3 linked regions of the Callithrix jacchus genome follow. The protein of the gene in region 2 purifies or fractionates together with the protein of the main gene of each other region. This does not show direct contact. Links are inferred from orthologs where the notes say so. Each region holds a gene or a part of one and is shown on either strand. Other genes may lie near its edges.

Region 1 (8,146 bases), on a different chromosome or scaffold from region 2:
TTGCAGTGAGATCATGCCACTGCACTGCAGCCTGGGCAACAGAGTGAGACTTTGTCTCCAAAAAAAGGAGAAGAAAGTAATTCTAAACCACCAGTCTGTCATGGTAAAACCACCTTTGCAAAAATTATAACTGAGACAATTATTACAGTTAAAGGGATGGGACTTAGCTGACTCCATCTAGCTTCTAACCTCCAAGCTGTCCTTATTCATTTCTGGGTATAGGCTGAACTAACTTCGGGAGGCACTTAGTTTATAGTTTAGCTTTGAAGCAAAGGTGATAACAACCCTTTTTCAAAACAAACTCCCTTCCTACCTGGGGACAAGACTGCCTTTTCAGGATTAACAAATTAGCCACAACATTATAAATTATGGTTTAGGAGTTATGCGGCTGGAGGCTACAAGATTTTTTTTTTTTTTTTAAAGATGGGGTTTCATCATGATGGCCAGGCTGGTCTTGAACTCCTGACCTGAGGTGATCCACCCACCTTGGCCTCCCAAAGTGCTGGGATTACAGGTGTGAACCACTGCATCTGGAGAGGCTACAAGATTCTAAGTCTCCCAAATTGCTCCTCAGGATAACATCTCCATTGTAAAACAGATCAGCTCTGAAGATATTTTGTAGACCCTGCTCTCCATGGTTCAGCTGGCACCACCCAGATTGATAAACTGGCTCATCTGGTCTGTGGCCTCTGACCCAGGAACTGACTCAGCCCAAGAGGACAATTTTGACTCCCTGTCATTTCATCTCTGACCCAACCAATCAACACTCCCTACTTTCTGACCCCATACCCACCAAATTATCCTTTAAAACTCTGTTCCCTGGCCAGGCCTGGTGGCTCACACCTGTAATCCCAACACTTTGAAAGGCCAAAGCGGGTAGATTGCCTGAGGTTGGGAGTTGGAAACTAGCCTGTCCAACATGGAGAAACCCTGTCTCTAGTAAAAATACAAAATTATCTGGGCGTGGTGGCTGTCGCCTGTAATATCAGCTACTTGGGAGGCTGGGGCAGGAGAATCGCTTGAACTCGGGAGGCAGAGGTTTTGGTGAGCTGAGAAAACACCATTGCACTCCAGCCTGGGCAACAAGAGCGAAACTGTCTCAAAGAAAAAAGAAAAAAAAAAAACCCTCCAATCCTCGAATTTTCGAGGATACTGATTTTTTGAGTAGTAATAAAACCCCAGTCCCTGGTAACCCGAACAGCTGGCTCTAGGTGAATGAAACTCTTTCTCTATTGCAATTGGCCTGTCTTGATAAAGTCTAGGCAGTGGGCAGGGACCACCCATTGGGCAGTTACAATGGCAGTCTGAGCAAACTAATAGAATTACTAACATAATTTAATCAATCAATATAATTTAACATAGTTAAAAAGAACTCTCAAATTGTGATGTTGTGAAATATGTATATATTTGGTCTTCCAGTTTCCTGGCATGCAGCTCCTAAAATCCTTAGATCTGTGAAGTGGTGTCTTTTTTCTGTTTTTTTTTTTTTGAGATGAAGTCTCACTCTGTTGCCTGGGCTAGAGTGCAGTGGCATGATCTTGGCTCACCGCAGCCTTGACCTCCTGATCTCAGGTGATTCTCTTACCTCACTACCTCAGCTTCCTGAGTAGCTGGGATTATAGGAATGAGCCACTTCACCAAGCTAATTTTTTTTTTCCTTTTTGAGATGGAGACAGTCTTGCTCTGTCACCCAGGCTGGAGAAGGGTGACCCCATCTCCGCTCACGGTGACCTCTGCTTCACAACTTCAAGTGATTCTCCGGCCTCAGACTCCTGAGAATCTGGGAATATAGGCATGCAAGACCACATCCGGGTAATTTTTTTTTTTTTTTTTTTTTTGAGGCGGGGTTTCACTCTTGTTTCCCAGGATGGAGTGCAATGGCGCGATCTCGGTTCACTGCAACCTCCGCCTCCTGGGTTCAGGCAATTCTCCTGCCTCAGCCTCCTGAGTAGCTGGGATTACAGGCAAGAGCCACCATGCCCAGCTAATTTTTTGTATCTTTAGTAGAGACGGGGTTTCACCATGTTGACCTGGATGGTCTCGATCTCTTGACCTCGTGATCCACCCGCCTCGGCCTCCCAAAGTGCTGGGATTACAGGCTTGAGCCACCGCGCCCGGCCTCAATTTTTGTATTTTTATTAGAGATAGGTTTCACCATGTTGGCCAAGCTGGTCTCGAATTCCTGACCTCAGATGATCCACCTGCCTCCGCCTCCCAAAGTGCTGAGATTACAGGCGTGAGCCACCGTGCCTGGCCTAATTTTGTTTCACCATGTTGGCCTGCTGGGTCTTGAACTTCTGGCCCCAGGAAATCTGTCCACTTCAGCTTCCCAAAGTGTTGGGATTACAGCCGTAAGCCACCGCGCCCGGTCTGAAATGTAGTTTTTTTATTCATTTGTTTTTCTCATGTTAAAATTTTTTTATTTTTTCTTTTTTTGTTAATCAATGAGAGCTTCTTATGTTGCTCAGGTTGGCCTTGAACTCATAGCCTCGCCTCCTCAAGCGCCAGGACAACTGGCCAGAGCCACCGCAGCTCCCGTCTCATGTTAAATTTAAAAAAAGACTTAAAAAAAATAACAAAGGTGTGGTCCTCTCCCTGAAATTGTTTCTCTCCTTAGCTGTGCATGGAGGGAAGTTTGGAATGCTATTTCCCCAATTATAATTCGCTGTAATACGCAGCAGTAGCTATTTTTGGGTGAGATTTCGGATGCTTGTCTTTGCCTCCTTTTTGGGCTTTTCTGTACAGCTTGCGTTTCCGAGGACGAGCATTTGTTGTCATCGACGGGGCATTTTTCCAAAATTCGCCTCCTCGCGGTGCCGGGAGGGGAGGCGGGTCCACGGCACCACCCTGCGCATGCGTCCAGTCGTTGCTGGGACCGGAACCTGGTTTCCCGGCCGCGCGCCTAGGGGAGAGTCTTGAGCGAGGCACCAGGACGTCGGCGGCTGGCGGAGCCGGGCGGGCGAAGCTGGAGCGGCGGTTGCGGCGGCGTAGGGAGGCCGGGGCCGGGTCTGAGGCCGCGGCCGGGTCTGCGAGGCCCTTGGGGCAGCAGGCGGCGGCGGCCCGGGACTCGAGCCCGGAGGCAGGAGTGGCCACCATGGCCGAGAGCATCGTGAGTGCGGCAGCCGGGCGGGAGCGGGGACGCCGGGATGAGGCAGCAGATTTGCCGGCCGCGGCCTGCTGGGGAGGCGGGCCTGCCGGCCCCGCGACCGGGTTCCTTTCCCCTTTCTCACCCGGGCTTTCTCAGCAGAGGCTGGGCCCCCCTCGGCGACTTTCACCCCCTCGGCTGCTTCCCGTCCTTGTCCCTTCCCGGCGGACTCGCGACCCCGGTTCCCCGCCCTGGGCAGGGAAAGGCCGAGGCTTTCTGCAGGGAGAATTGACTGTGCCGAAGAGAAACCGCCCTCCTTCCTCACCCGGTTCCCGGCTCCAGGAGACTTCCTGGTCCAGTTCCAGGGACTCCCAGCTAGTCCTGCCCCTCTCAGAGCCAGGGCCACTTCTTACCCCAATCTCCCTCCGATTCTCTTCTACCGCTCTCCCCCTTCCCAGCAAGTGCCTTGTCATGAATCACTGAGGAGAGCAACTGCAGACGGGGACGTTACAGAGCTCCCTCCCCGCCGGTGGAGCTGGGAAAATGAAAACGCAGTAACTTCCCGGCTTTGCTCCTTCTAGGAAGGAAAACTTGACAACTCCTCTTTAAAAGGAATGTCATAAATGAGGTTGATTTAACTTTTTACCTGAAACTGAGAATTGTCAGCCGAGCGCAGTGGCTCACGCCTGTAATCCCAGCACTTTGGGAGGTCGAGGCGGGTGGATCACGTGAGGTCAGGAGTTCGAGACCAGCCTGGCCAACGTGACGAAACTCCGTCTCTACTAAAAGTACAAAAAATTAGCCGGTCGTGGTGCCTGGCGCCTGTAATCCCAGCTCCTTGGGAGGCTGAGGCAGGAGAATCGCTTGAACCTGGGAAGTGGAGGTTGCAGTGAGCCGAGATCGTGCCATTGCACTCCAGCCTGGGCAACAGAGTGAGACTGCATCTCCAAAAAAAGGAAAAACGAATTGTCATCCCTACCAAGGTAAAAAATGTCAGTGAAAAATCAGGGAAAACCAGCCCCTCGTTAACTTGTGAGAAGCTGTTCCCCAAAAGTAAATGTGATGGGGAAAAATTAACTGACTCTTGGACAGAATTTTGGTTAATTTTTTTTTTTTTTTGAGACAGTTTTGCTTTTGTTGACCAGGCTGGAGTGCAGTGGCCCTGTCTCGGCTCACTGCAAACTCCACCTCCCGGGTTCAAGGGATTCTCCTGCCTCAGCCTTCTGAGTAGCCGGGATTACAGGTGCCTGCCACAACGCCCGGCTAATTTTTTTGTATTTATAGTAGAGACTGGGTTTTGCCATGTTGGTCAGGCTTGTCTTGGACTTCTGACCTCTGGTGATCTGCCTCTCTCAGCCTCCCAAAGTGCTGGAACTTACAGGCATGAGCCACTGAGCCCAGCCGAATTTTGATTAGTATTAAGAAAGGTTTGGGATTTCTGGGGGAAGCTGAGCAGTACTGGGTGAGGAGTAATGTTCATGCTGTAGTATTGTGACAGTCTCTGCAGTTTTACCAGGTGTCAAGAATCGGTCTTCAGGCCAGGCGTGATGGCTCACGCCTGTAATTCCAACACTTTGGGAGGCTGAGGTGGGTGGATCACAAGGTCAGGAGTTCGAGACCAGCCTGACTAACATGGTGAAACCCCGTCTCTACTAAGAATACAAAAAATTAGCTGGGTGTTGTGGTGCATTCCTGTAATCCTAGCCTCTTGGGAGGCTGAGGCAGGAGAATTGCTTGAACCTGGCAGGTGGAGGTTGCAGTGAACCGAGATTGCACCATTGCACTCCAGCCTGGGCCACTAAAGTGAACTCCGTCTCCAAAAAAAAAAAAGAAAAAAATGAGCTAAAGACAGATGATAATGCAAGAAATAGAAGCTCTGCAGTGCACTACCAGTCATTGCTGAGAGGAGAAGCTAGGACACCAGCACTTGCAGCATGCTCCTATCAGCCTCCTTCCCGTCTGCAGGTGGTTGGAGCAGGTCTTTGTTTGTTGCAGAGCATGCCATTTCATCCTCCCTATGTGAACAGGGACCTGTACTGTTGGCTAGGCATTATAGCTCACCTTCACAATGGCTTTCATCAGCATAAAAACGAAGTCGTCTTAGGAAGTAATGCTCTTTGTCCCATAGTATTCCAGATCTGCCCCCTTTTTAGGCTTACCATGGGAAAAAAAAATACTTAAAAAAAAAAAATATATATATATATATATATATATAAATAAAATACATACATATTAAATTAGGATGGAGTCAAGCGTGCTGTGTTGGCCAGGCTGATCTTGAATTCTGGGGCTAAAGGGATCCTTCTGCCTTGGCTTCCTGAAGTGCTGGGATTACAGGCATGAGCCACTGTGCCCAACCGAAAATATTTTTTTAAAACCCTGCTAAATTTTACCATTAATGACCATTGTTGTTTTTAACTTTAATCTCTCTCTCTTTTTTTTTTTTTTTTTGAGGCAGGGTCTTACTATGTCACCCATGCTGGAGTACAGTGGAACCATCTTAGCTCACTGTAAACTTGACCTCCCTGGTTCAAGTAATTCTCATGTCTCAATTCCCCAAGTAGCTGAGACCACAGGCGTGTGCCACCATGCCTGGCTAACTTCTGTATTTTTAGTAGAGATGAAGTTTCCTTATGTTACCCAGGCTGGTCTTGAACTTCTCAGCTCAAGTGATCCATCACCTTGTCCTCCCAAAGTATTACAATTACAGATGTGAGCCACTGTGCCTGACCATATTAAAATCTTTTTTACAGAAAGTAAATAACAGCTAGGTGTGGTTGCTCATGCCTGAAATTCCAGCACAGTGGCAGAGTCACCTGAGCCTAGGAGCTTGAGACCAGCCTGGGCAGTATACTGGTGATACTCCATCACTACAAAAAAAAAAAAAGAAAAAATTAACCTGAACTGGTGGTGCAGGCCTGTGGTCCCAGGGACTTAGGAGGCTGAGTTCAGAGGATCACTTGAACCTTGGAGGTCAAGGCTGCAGTAAGCTGTGATTTTGCTACTGTATTTCAGCCTGGGTGACAGCAAGACCCTGTCTCAAAAAAGTAAAAAAAAAAATAAGTAACAATTAGAAAATTTCCTATGATTCTTTTAATTGTAGGACTCTTAAAGACTGTCTAAAGTTTGTGTATAGATCCTGGAACAAAGAACATCTTTTATAAAGAACACGGTTCCTTCATGGTTCATGGTGGGTTTTTTTTTTTTTTCCAAGTTAAGCCTGGAGATAGTTTTTAAGTTTGAAGAGTCAAAAAGCATTTCACATATACTCTATAAATAGTGGTTAGGAAATAAAGTTGTTTTCCAAGTGAAACTAAGGGTTGAGAGGACAGTACTCTTTTTTTTTTTTGAGACGGAGTTTCACTCTTGTTACCCAGGCTGGAGTGCAATGGCGCGATCTCAGCTCACCGCAACCTCCGCCTCCAGGGTTCAGGCGATTCTCCTGCCTCAGCCTCCTGAGTAGCTGGGATGACAGGCATGCGCCACCACGCCCAGCTAATTTTTTGTATTTTTAGTAGAGACGGGGTTTCACCATGTTGACCAGGATGGTCTCGATCTCTTGACCTCGTGATCCACCTGCCTCGGCCTCCTAAAGTGCTGGGATTACAGGCTTGAGCCACCACGCCCGGCCATGGCTTCATCTTCTAGAAAGATTGAGCTGAGTATTGAAAAGTGAAGAGTGACGTTTCGCCCTTTTTTTTTTTTTTTTTTAAATCCAGATCACAGGAGAAGGATTTAAATGAGGTTTGGCTTTAAATTTTAGTGACTCAGATGCTAAAAGACCACAGCTGTAAGCCTTAGCAGTAGAGCAGGACCTCACTAGGCTGTGCAGTAACCATCATATTTTATTTACAACAGATAATTCGTGTCCAGTCCCCAGATGGAGTGAAGCGGATCACAGCAACAAAGAGAGAAACAGCAGCAACATTTTTGAAAAAGGTATCCATGGCTTGGGTATTTACCCTCAGGATCTTTCTCATCCTCTACTGTTACTCCCACCAATACCTTTTCTTTTTTCCCCATTTTTTTATTTTCCCTAGTCCCAAATAGCCCCTTGCATTGCTTTTCTCTATCTTGGTTGGGTTGGATTGCTATAGGATGAGATGTTTGTCACAGCTGATCACTGCTCAGAATTATAGGACCGAGAGCCCAAAGGTATATGTAAAAGTGTTTCACAAGAGTGGTCGGGTGCAGTGACTCACACCTGTAATGCCAGCATTTTGGGAGGCTGAGGTGGGAGTTTGAGACTAGGGTGTCCAACATGGTGAAACCTTGTCTCTACTAAAAATACAAAAATTACCTGGGCATGGTGGTGGGTGCCTGTAATCCCAGCTACTCAGGAGGCTAAGGCAGGAGAATCACTTGAATCTGGGAATCAGAGGTTATAGTAAGCTGAGATTGCACCACTGCACTCCAGCATGGGAGGCAGAGCCAGGCTTTGTTAAAAAAAAAATTATTTCACAAGAATAATATTTATGAGAGTGTCCGGGCGTGGTGGTTCATGCCTGTAATCCTAGCACTTTGGGAGGCCGAGGCAGGTGTATCACTTGAGATCAGGACTTTGAGACCAGCCTCACCAATATGATGAAACCCTGTCTACTAAAAATACAAGAATTAGCTGGGCGTGGTGGCATGTGCCTGTGATCCCAGCTCCTCAGGAGACTGAGGCATGAAACTTGGGAGGTGGAGGCTGCAGTGAGCTGAAAACGTGCCATTGCACTCCAGTCTGGGCAACAAGAGCAAAACTCCGTCTAAAAAAAAATAAAAGGGGCCGGGCGTGGTGGCTCATGCCTGTAATCCCAGCACTTTGGGAGGCCGAGGCGGGTGGATCACGAGGTCAAGAGATCGAGACCATCCTGGTCAACATGGTGAAACCCAGTCTCAACTAAAAATACAAAAAATTAGCTGGGCATGGTGGCGCGTGCCTGTAATCCCAGCTACTCAGGAGGCTGAGGCAGGAGAATTGCCTGAACCCAGGAGGCGGAGGTTGCGGTGAGTTGAGATCACACCATTGCACTCCAGCCTGGGTAACAAGAGCGAAACTCCGTCTCAAACAAACAA
Region 2 (8,374 bases):
TGAACTCCTGACCTCAGGTGATCCACCCACCTTGGCCTCCCAAAGTGCTAGGATTACAGGCGTGAGCCACCATGCCCGGCCAAGACTGCATCTTTATAAAAAAATTTTTTGGCTGGGCTCGGTGGCTCACGCCTGTAATCCCACCACTTTGGGAGGCCAAGGCAGGTAGATCAGGAGGTCAGAAGTTTGAGACCAGCCTGACCTACGTGGCAAAACCCCATGTTTACTAAAAATACAAAAATTCGCTGGGCGTGGTGGTGCGTGCCTGTAATTCCAGCTACTCAGGTGGCTGAGGTAGGAGAATCTATTGAACCCGAGAGGCAGAAGTTACAGTGAGCTGAGATGACACCACTGCACTACAGCCTGGGCAACAGAGTGAGACTCCATCTCAAAAGAAAGCACATTTTCTTTTGGCTGGGCTCCATGGCTCACGCCTGTAATCCCAGCACTTTGGGAGGTTGAGGGGGGCAGATCACTGAGGTTAAGAGTTCAAGACCAGCCTGGCCAACATGGTGAAACCTCGTCTCTAATAAAAATACAGAAAAAAAAAAATAGGTGGGCATGGTAGCACGTGCCTGTAATCCCAGCTACTCGGGGAGGCTAAGCCCGGAGAATCTCTTGAACCCAAGAGGCAGAGGTTGCAGTGAGCCAAGATCGTGCCACCACACTCCAGCCTGGGCAACAGAGGAAGACTCCATCTCAATATATATATGTATAATAATTTTTTTTTTTTGCCAGAGCACAGTGGCTTATACCTGTCATTCCAGCACTTTGGAAGGCCAAGGGAGGCAGATTACCTGAGGTCAGGAGTTCAAGACTAGCCTGTCCAACATGATGAGACCCCATCTCTACTAAAAATACAAAAAATTAGCCAGGCACGGTGGAGCAGGCCTGCGATCCCAGCTATTCAGGAGGCTGAGGCAGGAGAATTGCTTGAACCCAGGAAGCAGAGGTTGCAGTGAGCTGAGACAGCACCATTACACTCCAGCCTGGGTGAGAGAAGCAAAAACTCCATATCAGAAAAAATAATACATTTACAGTTCCAACACCTTTACACTGGTTGGGCAAGGTGGCTCATGCCTGTCATCCTGGGTTTTACCATATTGGCTTTGGGAGGCTGAGGTGGGAAGATCACTTGAGATCTATACCAGCCTGGGCAACCTAGTGAGACCCCATCGCTACAATTTTTTTTTTTTTGAGGCGGAGTCTCGCTCTGCTGCCAGGCTGGAGTACAGTGGCAGGATCTTGACTCACTGCAACCTCCCACTCCCCATTTCAAGCAATTCTTCTGCCTTGGCCTTCTGAGTAGCTGGGATTACAGGCGCCCGCCACCACGCCCAACTATGTTTTGTATTTTTAGTAGAGACAGGGTTTCATCATGTTGGCCAAATTGATCTTGGAACTCCTGATGTCAGATGATCCACCTATTTTAGCATCCCAAAGTGCTGAGATTACAGGCATGAGCCACCACACCTAGCCCTTTTCTTTTTTCTTCTTTTTTTAGAGATGGCAGTCTCACTGTGGCGTCAGGGCTGGTCCTGAAGTGCTGGACTCAAACAATCTTCTTGCATCAGCCTCCCAAAGAGCTGGGATTACTGCGTGAGGCACCACAGCCAGCCAAAAAAAAAAAAAAAAATACATCATTATTTTTTGAGACGGAATTTTGCTCTGTCACAAGGCTGGAGTGCAGTGGCTTGATCTCGGCTCACTGCAACCTCTGCCTTCTGGGCTCAAGCGATTCGCCTGCCTCAGCCTCCCGAGTAGCTGGGATTACAGGCACGTGCCACCACACCCAGCTCATTTTGTAATTTTAGTAGAGACGGGGTTTCACCATCTTGGGCAGGATGGTCTCGATCTCTTGACCTCGTGATCCGCACGCCTCGGCCTCCCAAAGTGCTGGGATTACGGGCATGAACCAACAAGCCAGGGCAAAAAGTGTATTTTTAAACATAACTACCTGCCAGGCATGGTGGCTCTCATCTGTAATCCCAGCACTTTGAGAGGTCAAGCTGGGCAGATCATGCAGGAGATTGAGACCATCCTGGCTAACACAGTGAAACTCCATCTCTACTAAAAATGCGAACATTTAACCGGTCATCGTGGCATGGTGCCTGTAGTCCCAGCTACTCAGGTGCCTGAGGCAGAAGACTTGCTTGAATCGGGGAGGCGGAGGTTACAGTGAGCCAAGACTGTGCCACCCCGCTCCAGCCTCGGTGACAGAGTGAGACACCATCTCGGAAAAAAAAAAAAATAACTACCATACCATTATCACCACTAAGAAAATTCAGAATAGCTCCTTTCTATCGTGTAATGCCCAGACATATTCACATTTCCCTGGTGGTCTCAAAAATATCCTCTTACTGTCCCTGATGACACCTTTCGTGTCGCAAACCGCTCTTTCTATAATGCCATGTGCCCTGACACAGATTTCCTTTACTGATTATATTATGTTTTCACCCAGACTCCCCCCAGAAACTGATGAGCATGAGCCCTATGAGGGGAAAGAAGTTTGCTTCCTCATTGTGGGTACAGAGCTGACTCTGAAGAAAGGAGAAAAGCATTTTGACATCTGCCTTTAACTGAAATACTGTGTGTGTGTGTGTGATGGAGTCTCGTTCTGTCACCAGGCTGGAGTGCAGTGCTGAGATCTCGGCTCACTACAGCTTCTACCTCCCGGGTTCAAGTGATTCTCCTGCCTCAGCCTCCTGAGCAGCTGGGATTACTGGCGCCCTTAGAGACAGGATTTCACCATGATGGCCAGTCTGGTCTTGACCTCCTGACCTCAAGTGATCTGCTGGACTTGGCCTCCCAAAATGCTAGGATTACAGGCGTAAGCCACTGCAACTGACCCCCAATTCCCTTTTTTTGAGGCTTAACTGTCACTTTATCTTTCTTTGCAGAATGCACAGCCCAAAGATGCCACTATTAACTGGTTTCTCTCTGTCTTGCCCGACAAAGTGGATCCCCAGGTCCCAGTCAAGTGCATTGTATTCAACAGCTCCTAGATAAGGTGCATGGGCTGGGGTGGGGCGGGGGGCGGTCAGGGACCAAAACAGGGCCAGATCGTGGGGGCCTCCAATGCCCCACATTGAATTGGGACTTTATCACGTAAGCTCTGAGCAGACAGGGAAGGTTAGTTTTGTGTTTGTTTTGTTTTGGGCAAAATCTCTCTCAGTGGCCCAAGCTGGAATGCAATGGCTTCATCACAGCTGACTACAGCCTGGACCTCCTGGGTTCAAGCAATCCTCCCGCCTCAGCCTTCCAAGTAGCTGAGACTATACAGGCACGGGCCACAACTCTCACCTAATTTATTTATTTATTATTTTTTTGACACCAAGTTTTGCTTTTGTTGCCCAGGCTGGAGTGCGATGGCTTGATCTCAGCTCACCACAGCCTCCAACTTCCGGGTTCAAGCGATTCTCCTCGCTTCATCCTCCCAAGTAGCTGGGATTACAGGCATGTGCCACCACGCCCGGCTAATTTTGTATTTTTGGTAGAGACGGGGTTTCTCCGTGTTGGTCAGGCTGGTCTCGAGCTCCCTACCTCAGGTGATCCACTCGCCTCGGCCTCCCAAAATGCTGGAATTACAGGCGTGAGCCATCGCGCCCGGCAACAATTAAAAAAAAAAAAAAATTTATGGAAAACATGGTTTTGCCATGTTGCCCAGGGTGGTCTCCAACTTCAGTCAAGCAATCCTCCCACCCGATTCCCCGAAAGTGCTGGGATTGCAGGCGTGAGCCACCGCGCCCAGCTTAGGTTGAGCAGCGAACAGGTCAGGGCCCAGTACTTTCTCTGCGAGGTTCAGTCGGCCTGTCCCTCTCCCATCAACGTTTGTCACCGTTTATGGAGCCCCACGGAAGGCGCCAGGCAAGGCACTGTAGCCAATCTAGAAGCGCGCTCGTCGCCCTGGCAACGTAGTCCGGCAGAACCACAGAGACGCGGCTCCGGCGTACAGAGCGTCCGCCCTGGGCCGCGAGGCACCGAGCCGTAGAGCGGCACGCCGGGCTGATTGTCACGTGGCTGGTGTCGGAGAGGCGGGACTTCCGGCGGCCCGGTATTTTTTTTCCGGTGGTTGGTCCTGGGCGGCCCCTCCCCGACTGGGCCCCGTGCCCCCCGCCCCTGCGGCCCCCAGCCGCCGGGCCAGCCGCCACCATGAAGAAATTCTTTCAGGAGTTCAAGGCCGACATCAAGTTCAAGAGCGCGGGACCCGGTCAGAAGCTCACGGACTCCGTGGGGTGCGTGAGGATCGCTGGGGCTTGAGGCCCTGAGGGGCGGGGACGGCCGGGGAGAGAGGTCTGGGGCCTCGAGGTGCGCGGGAGATCGGAGGGCGAGGGGCTGAAAGCGGCGGCGGCGAATGAGGGAAACGGGAGAGGTGCCGGGGGCGGGGCAAGTGGGGCCTAGGTGGGCGTCGTGGGCGTCAGGGGGAGGGGAGAGCGGAGAGCGGCCTGGGGGCGGGGCAGGAGGGCGTGTGGGAGGGACCCGGGGGCGGGTCGGGAAGAGGCGGGGGAAGGGGCCAGGAGGGTAGTTGTCAGTGGTCGGGCCTCGGAGGCTGTGGCGGGGGTCTAGGGCGACGGGGCTGCAGCAAGTTGGGAGTCAGTGGAGCGACCCTGGGGGAAAAAAGGGATGATGAGTCCGGAGGCGGGTGGTGAGGGAGAGGTCTGGGGACCCGGCTGGTTCTGAAGCGGCCCGGATGATTTGGGGGAATTTGGGTGACCAGGGATGGGAGCTGAGCGTGGAGGAGGACACACACTGTGGGGCATCCATGGGAAGAGGGGATGTGGGCTTGGGATCTGGAGCACGTGGGAGGTTGACGACAGACTAGGAAGTCTGGAAGGCCAGGGAAGTGGTGGTGGGCAGAGTCGTCAGTGACCTGGGAGGTCCCTGCGAATTGGGAGTGAAGGGCTGAGAACGGTGTGCGAGGAGACTGGAGGTGAAGGACTGACAGATGGTGGTGGGAGGGGAGGGAAAGGAGGTAGCTGCCAGGCCTACTTCTGGATTGTCTAGGGAAGACTTCGAGAGAAGGGCCTGGGCAGGGCTAAGCCAGCTGGGATGGCACATGGAAGGTAGGGGAAGAGGTGGAACCGGGGACAGTGTGAGGCTGAGGGCTGCTGGGTTGAGAATAGGGAACCTGGAGAGCTGGGGCCGCTGCAGGGAGCTGGCTGGCCAGGGAGTGGTGGGGACCGACGGAGAGTGAAGGGGAAGGAGGTCAGCCAGGCTGCCAGGGCAGGGGTCTATAAGCAATAATGGAAGGGATTGTGAAGAGGTGGGGCTGGGAAGGGGTAGGAGGAGATGCAGGGAGGTGGCAGGAAGTGCGGGTCAGGGAATCACGGGCAGTGGGGTGGTGATGGAGGGAGGGCCATAGTGAGGACGTTGGGGTTCCTGGGGGAGAGGCTGAGCAGGAAAGCAAAGGAGGGAGAGGGGTCAGGGACAGAGGGGTCAGGGAGAGAGGTGGGCAAATGGGGGGAGCCCTTCATTGATTCAACCAATAGTGGGTGAACGGGGTACTAGAGCCACTGGGACTGGGCGTGACAGGAAGGATCCAGGGTGTGAGGGCGATGGCTGGATCAGCCCAGAGCCCAGGCATAGGGGGGAAGATTGGAGCGGAGGGGCGGGCGGGAAGGGACGGGAAGGAAAGGAAAGGCGTGCAGAGGTCCCTTTTGGAGTGATACTCCAGGGTGTGTGGGGCGGGTGGGCACCAAGTCCTGTTTTGGGCTGCAGTGGCGGACAGGACAAGGCGGCTGCTTTCCCAGGGCTCACCACCTAGTGGGAGCCGATTGGTAAATAAACCAACAAGCCTGGGATGAGAGCTCAGGCAGTGCCCAGGGCCTCGAAATAGGGTGAGCAGGGACCGCCAGGTGGTCCGGGAAGACCTCTGCCAGGACAGCGAGACTTCAGCTGTGAGGAAATCAGCCCCCTCCTTCTCTCCCTGTGGTAGCCCTAGCCCTTTCCAGATCCCCTGACCTCCTCCCACCCCCCAGGAGAACATTCTGGGCAGAAGGCGCAGACAGTGCAGGGCCGTACAACGGGGAGCAGTTGGGGTGTGGGAAGAACGACAGGGAGCCCAGGAGAGATGGGGCCAGGCCAGGAAGGGCTCTCTGGGCCGAGGGAGGCCTTAGGATTTTGCAGTGGGAGGACATTATGCAGTGGAGTGACGCTGACGTTCCCTGAATGAGGTTCCAGAAGGGTCCCTGTGACTGCCCGGGGGAGCAGGGCCCACAGCCGGTTGGGGTGAGGCACCCTGGGAAATGCTGTTTTGTTGGAAAGACCTAGATATGGGATGGGGCCAGGGTGGGTCTTCATGAGTCATCTCTTCCACCCAATCTGCTCAGCTGCGGGAGGACGGGATAGGCAGGGGTGGGCACGAAGCAGGTTCCGGAAGCCTCCAGAGGAGGAGGGAGGGCTTCCCGGGAATCTGAGCAGAGCCAGAGGAGTATAGGGCTTGAACTGAGAGCCTGGTCTCCTGGAAGTTTTTACAGATCTATAGCATGGAAAGTGACAGCGCCTGAATTCACGGGAGGGGCCTGAGGAGATGGGCGAGACAGACGCATCCGAGCAGCTGGGAGAGAGGGCTGCTCTGCCAGGTCACTGTGCTCAGAGGATTACGGAATCCTCCTTGGCAGAGGGCTCCACAGGGCAGGGCCGTGATTACCTGAGCTCTTTGTACTTGCACAGCCCTGAGCCTGGCATGGAGTCACGTGGCCAGGGCAAGGCTGGTTCTGTTGTCAGCTGACCCCAGGGTCTTGACACAAGGGTGGCGTGGCATGGGGTACATCACCTGGACTTCTCAACAACCCTCTTGGGTTTGGGAACAGGGGATGGTGAGGTCTCCCTGACAGCTTGTTAGGAGGAGGAGTCAACCGACCCAGCCGCCTCCTGGGTTGATAGACTCAAGAGCTATCACATCCTCCCTCCCTCCCTGCCATAAAAGTCTGCACTCAGGGCCGGGCCCGGTGGCTCAAGCCTGTAATCCCAGCACTTTGGAAGGCTGAGGTGGGCGGATGACCTGAGGTCGGGAGTTTGAAACCAGCCTGACCAACGTGGAGAAACTCCATCTCTGTTAAAAATACAAAATTAGGCCGGGTACAGTGGCTCACGGCTGTAATCTGAGCACTTTGGGAAGCCGAGGTGGTGGATCACGAGGTCAGGAGTTCAAGACCAGGCTGGCCAATATGGTGAAACCCCGTCTTTACTAAAAATACAAAAATTAGCCAGGTGTGGTGGCAGGTGTCTGTATTCCCAGCTACTCGGAAGGCTGAAGCAGAGAATTGCTTGAAGCTAGGAGGCATAGGTTGCAGCGAGCCTAGATCACACCATTGCACTCCACCCTGGGCGACAGAGTGAGACTCTGTCTCAAAAACTAAATAAAGAAAAATAAATACAAAATTAGCCAGGCATGGTGGTGCATACCTATAATCCCAGCTACTCGGGAAGCTGAGGCAGGAGAATCCTGGGAGGCGGAGGTCACGCCATTGCACTCCAGCCTGGGCAACAAGATCGAAACTGTCTCAAAAGAGGAATAATCAGCCAGGATACAATACACTCAGTCTCCCTCGGTCTGTCCCCAGGGAAAAGGCCCTCAAAGAGAAACCCACCCAGCCAGCCCCCAGGCAGCCCCGCCAGGGACCCACCAATGAGGCACAGATGGCAGCCGCTGCCGCCCTGGCCCGGCTGGAGCAGAAGCAGTCCCGGCCCTGGGGCCCCACGTCACAGGACACCATCCGAAATCAGGGTGAGCTGTGGTCCTCCTCAGGCCCAGGTGGACACTGTTCGTGGGTCCCAGCCCTGGTGCAGAAGTCACATGAGCAACTGTGGGGTTGTGAGGGTCACCCTTGGAAGTGGCCCCCGAGAGCGGGGGAAGGGTGGCTTCCGGGGCAGGGGGAGCAGAGACTTGCAGCAGAAACCGGGGCTGCCCAGGCAGTGGGGTGCTGGCTCAGGCCGAGGGGTGGGTGCAGACCAAGCCCCACAGGGGCCCGGAACAGGTATGCTTGGCTCACAGGCCACCCCAGGAATGCGGGGGCTTGGGCCAGGGGAGAGGCCTGCACACCATCCCATCCCTGCCTCTCCCTCCTCGGCTTGCCTTCCAGTGAGAAAGGAACTTCAAGCCGAAGCCACCGTCAGCGGGAGCCCCGAGGCCCCAGGGACCAACATGGTAAGAACAGCCACTGGTGGCAGTGTCCCCTGCCCATGGGTGGGGACAGCTTGACTCTGTCACACGGGAGATGTGGCCTCTGCCCTTGGGGCTCTGGGACAGTTGGGAAACCTCGCCGTGATAGGCGGAGGTGGGTTGGGGTGAAACACAGTGCTGTGCGGGACCTTCAGGGCTCGGCCGCCGGCTGCCGAGGCTTCCCAGCTCAGGCCTGGGGAAGTGGACCTC
Region 3 (6,779 bases), on a different chromosome or scaffold from region 2:
GCCTGGGCCCTGGCACGTCCTGTCTCCTTGTCCAGAGCAAAACGAGACAAGGGGTGGGGGCCCACAGGCACGAGCTTGCCCTGGGGACTGAGCCCTGCCCAGAGACCTTCCTGTGCATGTCCACCTGGCCTGGATCAGATGAGACTCACCTCCAGTGCCAATGCCGGCCATGATGGGCTGAGTGGACCTGGCGGTGAGTTCCTTGGTCAGGACCTCCTTCCAGACTTGGCCATCCCCCTCCCGAGGGGGGTCTGGCTGTGGCCACCCTGTGTCTGGAGCAGGGGAAGCAACTCTGGGTTGCAGGAAGCCTGGGGCCAGCCCTTCTTTGTGGTCCTGGGGATAGAGAGGCTGGACCTTTCTCTCTGAGGTGGGAGTGGGGAGGGGAGCCACAGGGGACCTGTGGGTGTGAGAGGAGATTCTCAGACTTCCTTCACGGGTGATTCCCGCTGCCTTCTCCGCCCCATCTGTGGTCCCCATTCCACTGTCCTCACCCCACTGGGACCCTCCTGGGGACTGGATGTACTGGGGAACCCTGAGTCCACTGGGGTGGCTGTGACGAAGGCCCACTATCCCGGAGGCCTGGGGTCCAAGCTCAGGGGATGGCTAGGCTGGCCCCTGTCAGGCTTCTGTTGTGGCTGGCAGAAGTTACCTCTGTCATCGCATGGTCACCTCTGTGAGCATTTTGTGTCCTCATCTCATGAGAATTCACACTGGAACAGACCCACCTTGGATGTCATCCACTCTGGGTGGCTGCCCTGTCTCTCCCTGCCTGGGTACCGTGGTGCCACCCCATGCCTGGGTATCTTGGGCCATAAGGCTTTTCTCTTGGCTGCTTTTCCCCGGAGGGTGGTGCCATTCTTGCCCGTGGGGACGACCGGGGCACCGGGCCACGTGCATGCTGCTCCTGCAGAGTCGCTGCCCACGAGGGTTGGCCTGGACCTCCTTTCAGAAGCTCTTCCTGGCAACACTGAGTGTGGCAAGGGGCTGGCAGCAGAGGGGGCAGGATTTGGGGCCCCAGTGTGCTGGGCAGCAGCTAGGGAGGGGCTGGCTCCAGGGTGGCTGTGCTGGCTCCTCTCAGGCTTCCGTTGTGGCTGGCAGACTGGCGTCCTTGCGGTGTCACTTCTGTGTGTGGTCTGTGTCCTCATTTCTTGAGGAATCACACTGGACTAGACCTGCCTTTGATGTCATCTCACATCACTTATCTTTTCAAAGATAAGTGAGATATCTTCAAAGATAAGTGCATGGTCCCAGGCCCTCAGGTTGTGTCAGGGCAGGGTGGGCGTTCCTCTTTTCCCTGTCAGCCCAGGGAGCCAGGACAGTGCTGGTAGGGACAGGCCCCTCAGCCTGCGCCTCCCTCAGGCCCTTTCTGGGCCCTGCTCTGAGTGGTGGGTGGGGGGCGGGGGTGTCCATTGTGACTCACATTTCGTGTCTAGACCCAGCTCCATCCACCCTGGTCCCTTGCTGAAGTGGCCCCTGGAAACCAGGGCAGAGAGCACCGTTTCTCACAGTGCAAGATGGAGGTGATATGAGACTTTGGGAGGCTCCTTTTTTGGGGTCCATCCAGAGGCCAAGCCTCTCCCAGCACTGCAGCGTCCATGCCACCCAGTCTGCTGACCCTCCTCGCCACTGACTGCCAAGACTACTTCCCTCCTCGTGATCCTGAGCCCCAGCTGCCCCTTTCTGTACATCCTGTGGGGCAGTGCTGGGAGGGTCATGGCCTGTGGGGGCAGTGATGAAAACCAGGTGCCTCAGTATCAGTGGCTTCTGAGGGATTCTTCTTGCCTGGCGGCAGGTGGGACACAGATGGGGCTGGCTAGGCCTCTGGTGCCCACAGCAGCCTCCAGGCAGTGTCCCTGGGCTTCTGTGGGCGGCTGCAGCCTGGGTGTGAATCCCAGAGGCCCTATGGCGCTCTTATCTGTGAGGCTGAGACCACAGTGGCTCCTGGCGCTGTCCTCCTGGTGCCCTCTTCCTGGCTCCCCAGCTTCCGATGCCTTTCCAGGGCCACTGGGGCAGCCCCTGCCCACCCCGCAGGCCCTGTTCTCCTCACAAGGCTTTGATCCCAGGCGGCACAATTGGGTTTTCAAAGCATTCACGGCCCTTGTTTGTGTCCCCGGCTGGAGGCTGAGGTTTCAGCGTTCCTGGGCCTGGCCTTTGAAGCTTCCTCTTATTAATCTTTTAACATCCCTCAGCCCCACCCCAGACTGTGGCCCCGAGCAGCCTGGAGCCGGGAGGGGGATGCCTTCAGCCTGGCAGCTGCAGCACTCCACAGTGGTCCCGAGGCATCCGTCAGGCCCTGCCCCACCCCGCCTTCCTGAGGTGCAGAGTCCAGAGCAAGGAGGACTGTGACACTGCATGACTCAGGGACCCTCAGGGCCCTAGCCTGCAGCTGGCTTGGGGCTTGGGGTGGTCCCATGGAGGGCGCTGGTGGTCCTAGGATGCCCTGGGCTTGCTTACAGTGGTAGGGTTGGTGCCAGAGTCGGGACAGGAAGCTGGGCAATGAGGGGCTCATGGGACTGGGCAGGTGGAAACTGCCTGAGGGTGGAGCTGTGGCCATCAGCAGGGCCTGGGCTTGGAGGTGTGGCTGCCTCCGCAGCAGAAGGGGTGCTCTGCCCACGGTGCCCGCCCGGCTCCTGAGTCTCCTGCCCTCCCTGCAGGCGAACCTCTTCCCGGCTGCTCTGGTGCACTTTGGAGCCAAGGAACCAGCAGGTGAGTGTCAGTGGTTGGGGCATCAGAGCCTGGCCAGCCCGTCCGGGACCTCAAAGCTAGCTGCCCCAGAGGGCATTCAGTCTGGGGCCTCATTTGGATCTGGGAGGGAGGTCTGAGGCTTCCAATACCCACCTCTCAGAGGGAGGGCTGGGACAGCCACCTGCTGGCCACCCTGCTCCCAGAGCTGAGTGCTGGTGGCTGGTTGCTGGGCAGATAAGGGTGGGCCTCTCCGAGGCTGAGGGTGGGCTTGGGCCTCCCTGCAGGTGTCTACCTGGAGCCTGGCCTGCTGGAGCGCACCATCTCCCCATCCGCGGCCGACGTGCTGGTGGCCAGGTAAGTGCCAGTGGGTTTGGGGGCTCCTCCCTCAGCGACACCCACCACCCTGTGTCTTTGCCTCCCCCCAGGTACATGTCCAGAGCCACCAGGTCCCCTTCCCCATTGCCAGCCCCTAACCCTGCACCTGAGTCTGAGCCACCTGCTGAGGAGGGGGCGCTGGGCCCCACTGAGCCCATCTCAGAGATGGTTCCGCCTGTGAAGAGGAGCCTGGGCAAGGTGCCCAAGTGGCTGAAGCTGCCAGGTACTGTGGCCGGGTGGAGGGCAGGGGGCTTCGACCAGGTGGAGGACGTGTGGGGGCACAGGGTGCTGTGGTCTGCGGGGATGGGGGGGCCGCATGCTGAATTTGGTTGGGGGGCAGGGGGGCTGGGTGCTGCAGTGGGGGTTGGAGAGCTAGTGCTTCGGCCAGGCCAGTGAGCGGGTGGCTGGGCAGCGAGAGCCCAGGGCCTGTGGTCACCCTGGTGTGTTTGCACTACAGCCAACAAGAGGTGAGCTGCCAGCCTGAGGTGCCCACCAGCCACAGGACCACCTCCCCTGCCAGCAGGAATAAAGACTGTGCGTCCTTCAGTGCTTCCTGTCGTACTTTCTCCAGCAGGGGCCCCTGTCCACCCTGGCTTGGCCTGACTGGAGTGTCCAGGCCCAAGGGTCCTGGTGGACCATGGTGTGGGCCTCGGTGGCCACTCGCCGGGCCGAGGTGTGCATCCTGAACCCGAGTGGGTCTCCTAACAGTATTTACTCCTCCTCCCAGAGAAACAGAAGTGCTGGAAGAAGGGCTTTTTGGGCAGATTGCCTACAACCCAAGAACCAAGCCTGGGCCAGGAGCTGGGGGAGTTAGTAGGCCACCCCATCTTTAGGGCAGGGCCTGGCCTTGCAAGCCTAACAATTTCCACAGGCTTCCCAGGGCTTTCAGACAGACCTACTTGGGTGGGCAGGGTGGGGAAGGGGTGGATCCCAGCAGCAGCTCTGCCTGGCCAGGGCCAGTGGGGCTAAATCAAGGATGGAAAGGCTTACCCCAAAGTTGTCTTAGAGCACCAGGGGAGGAGAGGCTGGGCCGCCTCCAGTGATCCCCAAGGGGCAGCTCTTGTCTTTCCCACCCTGGAATCTGACTCCCTGTGTTCTAACCTTCCCTGCATGGGGCCCCAGGATGGCACTCAACTGAAAGCCCCTTGGGTGTTCACAGTCCTGGGCTCTAACTAGGGAGCTAAAGTGAGGTGGGCTAAGGCACCTGGCAGGGCACTGGAGGGGAAGTGGCCCAAGGCCCTGCTGCTTCCCAGGTGTTGGCACAGGTGGAGCTCATGCCAGACTTCTGACAATCAGAGGGCAGCTAGACCTGGACAGGGCATCCAGGCAGGTCCCACAGCCCTGTGTCTCCAAACATGGGCAGGAGGCATGGCCTGAGGGGGCTGTCCCATACCCCCCGGCACTGCGTGGGGCTGGTGTTGAAGAGAAGGGGAGGCCCTTCCTCCATTTCAGCAGGGCCTTGGGCCAAGGTCCCTCTCACCCTGTGCATCCTGGTCCTGCCTGCAGCCACAAGAATATTCATGGAAGCCACTGCCCACTGGTGGCAGGCCCTGGGGCTGCCCCAGCCTCTGGGGCTGGAGTAACATTTTCCAGGTAGGCGGCCACATATACAAGGTATGGGCTCCACAGCCCCATGCACACATGCTGTCAGCCAGCCTGTCCTGGTGCTTTGCTTTTGTCTTACCAGGGGTGGAAGGGTGCACACAGGGAGCGTGGCTTTGAAGCAGTCTGACTTCAGTGATTAATAGCAACAAGAAGGCCAAGCTGGGAGAGACAGTTTTGATTTATTGATGTTGCTTTGTCAGAACAAATTTATAGCCTGGGGAGCCATTTTCTGAGGGGAATAGCGGATGCCTGGGAAGGTCACATCAGCTTTGATGTTGGTAGCAGGAATGTGGCCAGGAGGCGGCGCTGCCAGCTGCTCTTTGTAAAACATGCAGTCTACCTGTTGGCTGGGCCTTTCCCAGCACCTGCCTGTAGGTGCCCCCATGGGCCTGTCTCCAGTGGGCACTCCAAGGGTGGCAATGCACTACAGTCCTGCCCCTTCTGCAAAGGTTGGAGAATCTCGGGATCTTGTTTGAATCAGCTCCAAACCCCTCAGGTCCTTCTCTGTCTGCAACCAGAAGCCACTAGAAACACAAGACCTGCTTCTGTGGACCAGGGACTTCCCTGGGGTGGCTTCAGCCACGGCTGAGGTCCCTAGAAGTCCAGGAGCTGTGGGGAAGAAGCGCTTAGGTGCGGCCTGCCAGCCAGGCACTCCCACCTGTGCACCGACCCGCATTCACGCACCAACTGCGGAAGCACCTTCTCCAGCTGGTCCACATCCACAAGAATGGCATCTTCTGCCTGGGCCTGCCGTACCGCACGGACGGCTGCTTCTGCAGTGAGAAACTCGAGAAGTGGGGGATGCTGGGAGATCTTAAACCCAGGCCCACTGGGCCTCAGCCTGAGCCAGTGCCCCCACCCACATCCACAGGCAACCCCCAGAACCAGGCTGTAGCACCTGACCAACAGGCCCAGGAGACCAAGTTCAGGCCCTTGTGGGAAACAGAAAAACGTGTCTTGGTTTTCCCGCTAGAAAAACAAAAGGAATCCTGGACACTGCACCTGGGAGGGGGCCTGGGCCCTGGGCTCACCCACAACGAAGATCTTCAGCAGCTCCGCCATGAGCTGCAGTGAGTCCCCGCTAACTGAAAGGCAGGGGGAAGACGTTATGTGGGACCCTTGCCCACTGCCCTGGCTGGGTGCTCCAGATGCAACCCACCCGCCCCAAGGCCTTGGCCCTGCAGAGTTGTGGGAAAGGTACAGGAGGACGGGAACCCCCGCTCCCACCTGCACCCCACCTGCACCTTTGGTCTTGTCATCCTTAAAGTGCGCGTGCAGCAGCCTGCTCACCAGCTCCTGGAGGGGAGGGGGATGTCAGTGCCAGGCCCTGCCCTCCCCCACACCCCCAGGGTGGTGATCATTCTGGGTGGCACCGGCTGTGATTTCCAGCTGGAGATGCCCTCTGTGCGTGGGCCTCTCCCAGGGCAAGGAACAAGGGCCGGCCCAGTGCTTAGGGTGGCAGAAGCTGGAAGAGCAGGGTCTGTCAGGGAGCTGCCCTGCAGAGCGAGTGGATGCAGACTGGTCGCAGGCCCAGCCTGCTGGAGCTCCAGGGGTAGCAAGGAGAGGCCTTGTCGAGTCTGGCATAATCTTGCACTCCCGTCCCCAGCCAAGGGCCATGGATCTGCTTTCCTTTTGAGGAGGCAGGGAAGGCAGAGCCGGCCTGGGTCTGGAGGCAGCTGCTCCCTGGGTGGGATGGCCTGAGGGAGTGCCACCAGTAAGGCCTTGCTTGGCCAACTGTTCAGTGTGCTAGGTCAGCTCCACCAGTCTTGCCCTGGTGCTTATCATCCTGCAGGAGGTGCTTGTGTCTGGAAGCATAGAGCTGGGCTGCACCAGCGAGGTCTACAGGTTAGAGTGGAGGGAAGGGTGGGCTAGATGCTGAGGGCCTGAGGCCTGATCAGCTCTCTCTCTGTGGTAGGAAACTGGGAGTCCTTTCTGTTTTTTTTTGTGGAAAGCAGCACTGTTGTTTGAAAGGACCCCTGTGGCCATCATGCCCAGGGGATGGGGGGCAGGGAGAAGGCTGCAGAGCTGGGGCCTTTGTCTTCCTGAAGCATGGAGGATGGGTACAGGGGAGGAGTCAAAAGGACAGCACTGTTCTGTGGAGCTGGGGGGCCGTG

The links.
Region 1: the proteins of UBXN6 (region 2) and NPLOC4 purify together in Homo sapiens (affinity purification with western blotting; 3 studies listed by BioGRID and IntAct, with this or other methods). This does not show direct contact. The link is inferred for Callithrix jacchus from reciprocal best matches to the Homo sapiens genes UBXN6 and NPLOC4.
Region 3: the proteins of UBXN6 (region 2) and ASPSCR1 purify together in Homo sapiens (affinity purification with mass spectrometry; 4 studies listed by BioGRID and IntAct, counting the BioPlex papers as one, with this or other methods). This does not show direct contact. The link is inferred for Callithrix jacchus from reciprocal best matches to the Homo sapiens genes UBXN6 and ASPSCR1.

The regions. Positions count from the first base shown.
Region 1 is NC_133506.1:137,287,710-137,295,855, reverse strand, and holds the start of NPLOC4 (nuclear protein localization protein 4 homolog), read left to right. Parts: upstream 1-2,917; 5' UTR 2,918-3,094; coding exon 3,095-3,109; intron 3,110-6,943; coding exon 6,944-7,024; intron 7,025-8,146. UniProt on the Homo sapiens protein: The ternary complex containing UFD1, VCP and NPLOC4 binds ubiquitinated proteins and is necessary for the export of misfolded proteins from the ER to the cytoplasm, where they are degraded by the proteasome.
Region 2 is NC_133523.1:4,201,388-4,209,761, reverse strand, and holds the start of UBXN6 (UBX domain-containing protein 6), read left to right. Parts: upstream 1-4,045; 5' UTR 4,046-4,152; coding exon 4,153-4,235; intron 4,236-4,701; exon of another isoform or gene 4,702-5,049; coding exon of another isoform or gene 5,050-5,063; intron 5,064-7,565; coding exon 7,566-7,729; intron 7,730-8,084; coding exon 8,085-8,149; intron 8,150-8,374. UniProt on the Homo sapiens protein: May negatively regulate the ATPase activity of VCP, an ATP-driven segregase that associates with different cofactors to control a wide variety of cellular processes.
Region 3 is NC_133506.1:137,619,288-137,626,066, forward strand, and holds the end of ASPSCR1 (tether containing UBX domain for GLUT4), read left to right. Parts: intron 1-1,078; exon of another isoform or gene 1,079-2,189; coding exon 2,190-2,316; intron 2,317-2,654; coding exon 2,655-2,706; intron 2,707-2,969; coding exon 2,970-3,039; intron 3,040-3,110; coding exon 3,111-3,283; intron 3,284-3,517; coding exon 3,518-3,531; 3' UTR 3,532-3,606; downstream 3,607-6,779. Other genes in the region: CENPX (centromere protein X), read right to left, coding at 5,241-5,274, 5,350-5,438, 5,668-5,750, 5,904-5,961. UniProt on the Homo sapiens protein: Tethering protein that sequesters GLUT4-containing vesicles in the cytoplasm in the absence of insulin. Modulates the amount of GLUT4 that is available at the cell surface. Enhances VCP methylation catalyzed by VCPKMT.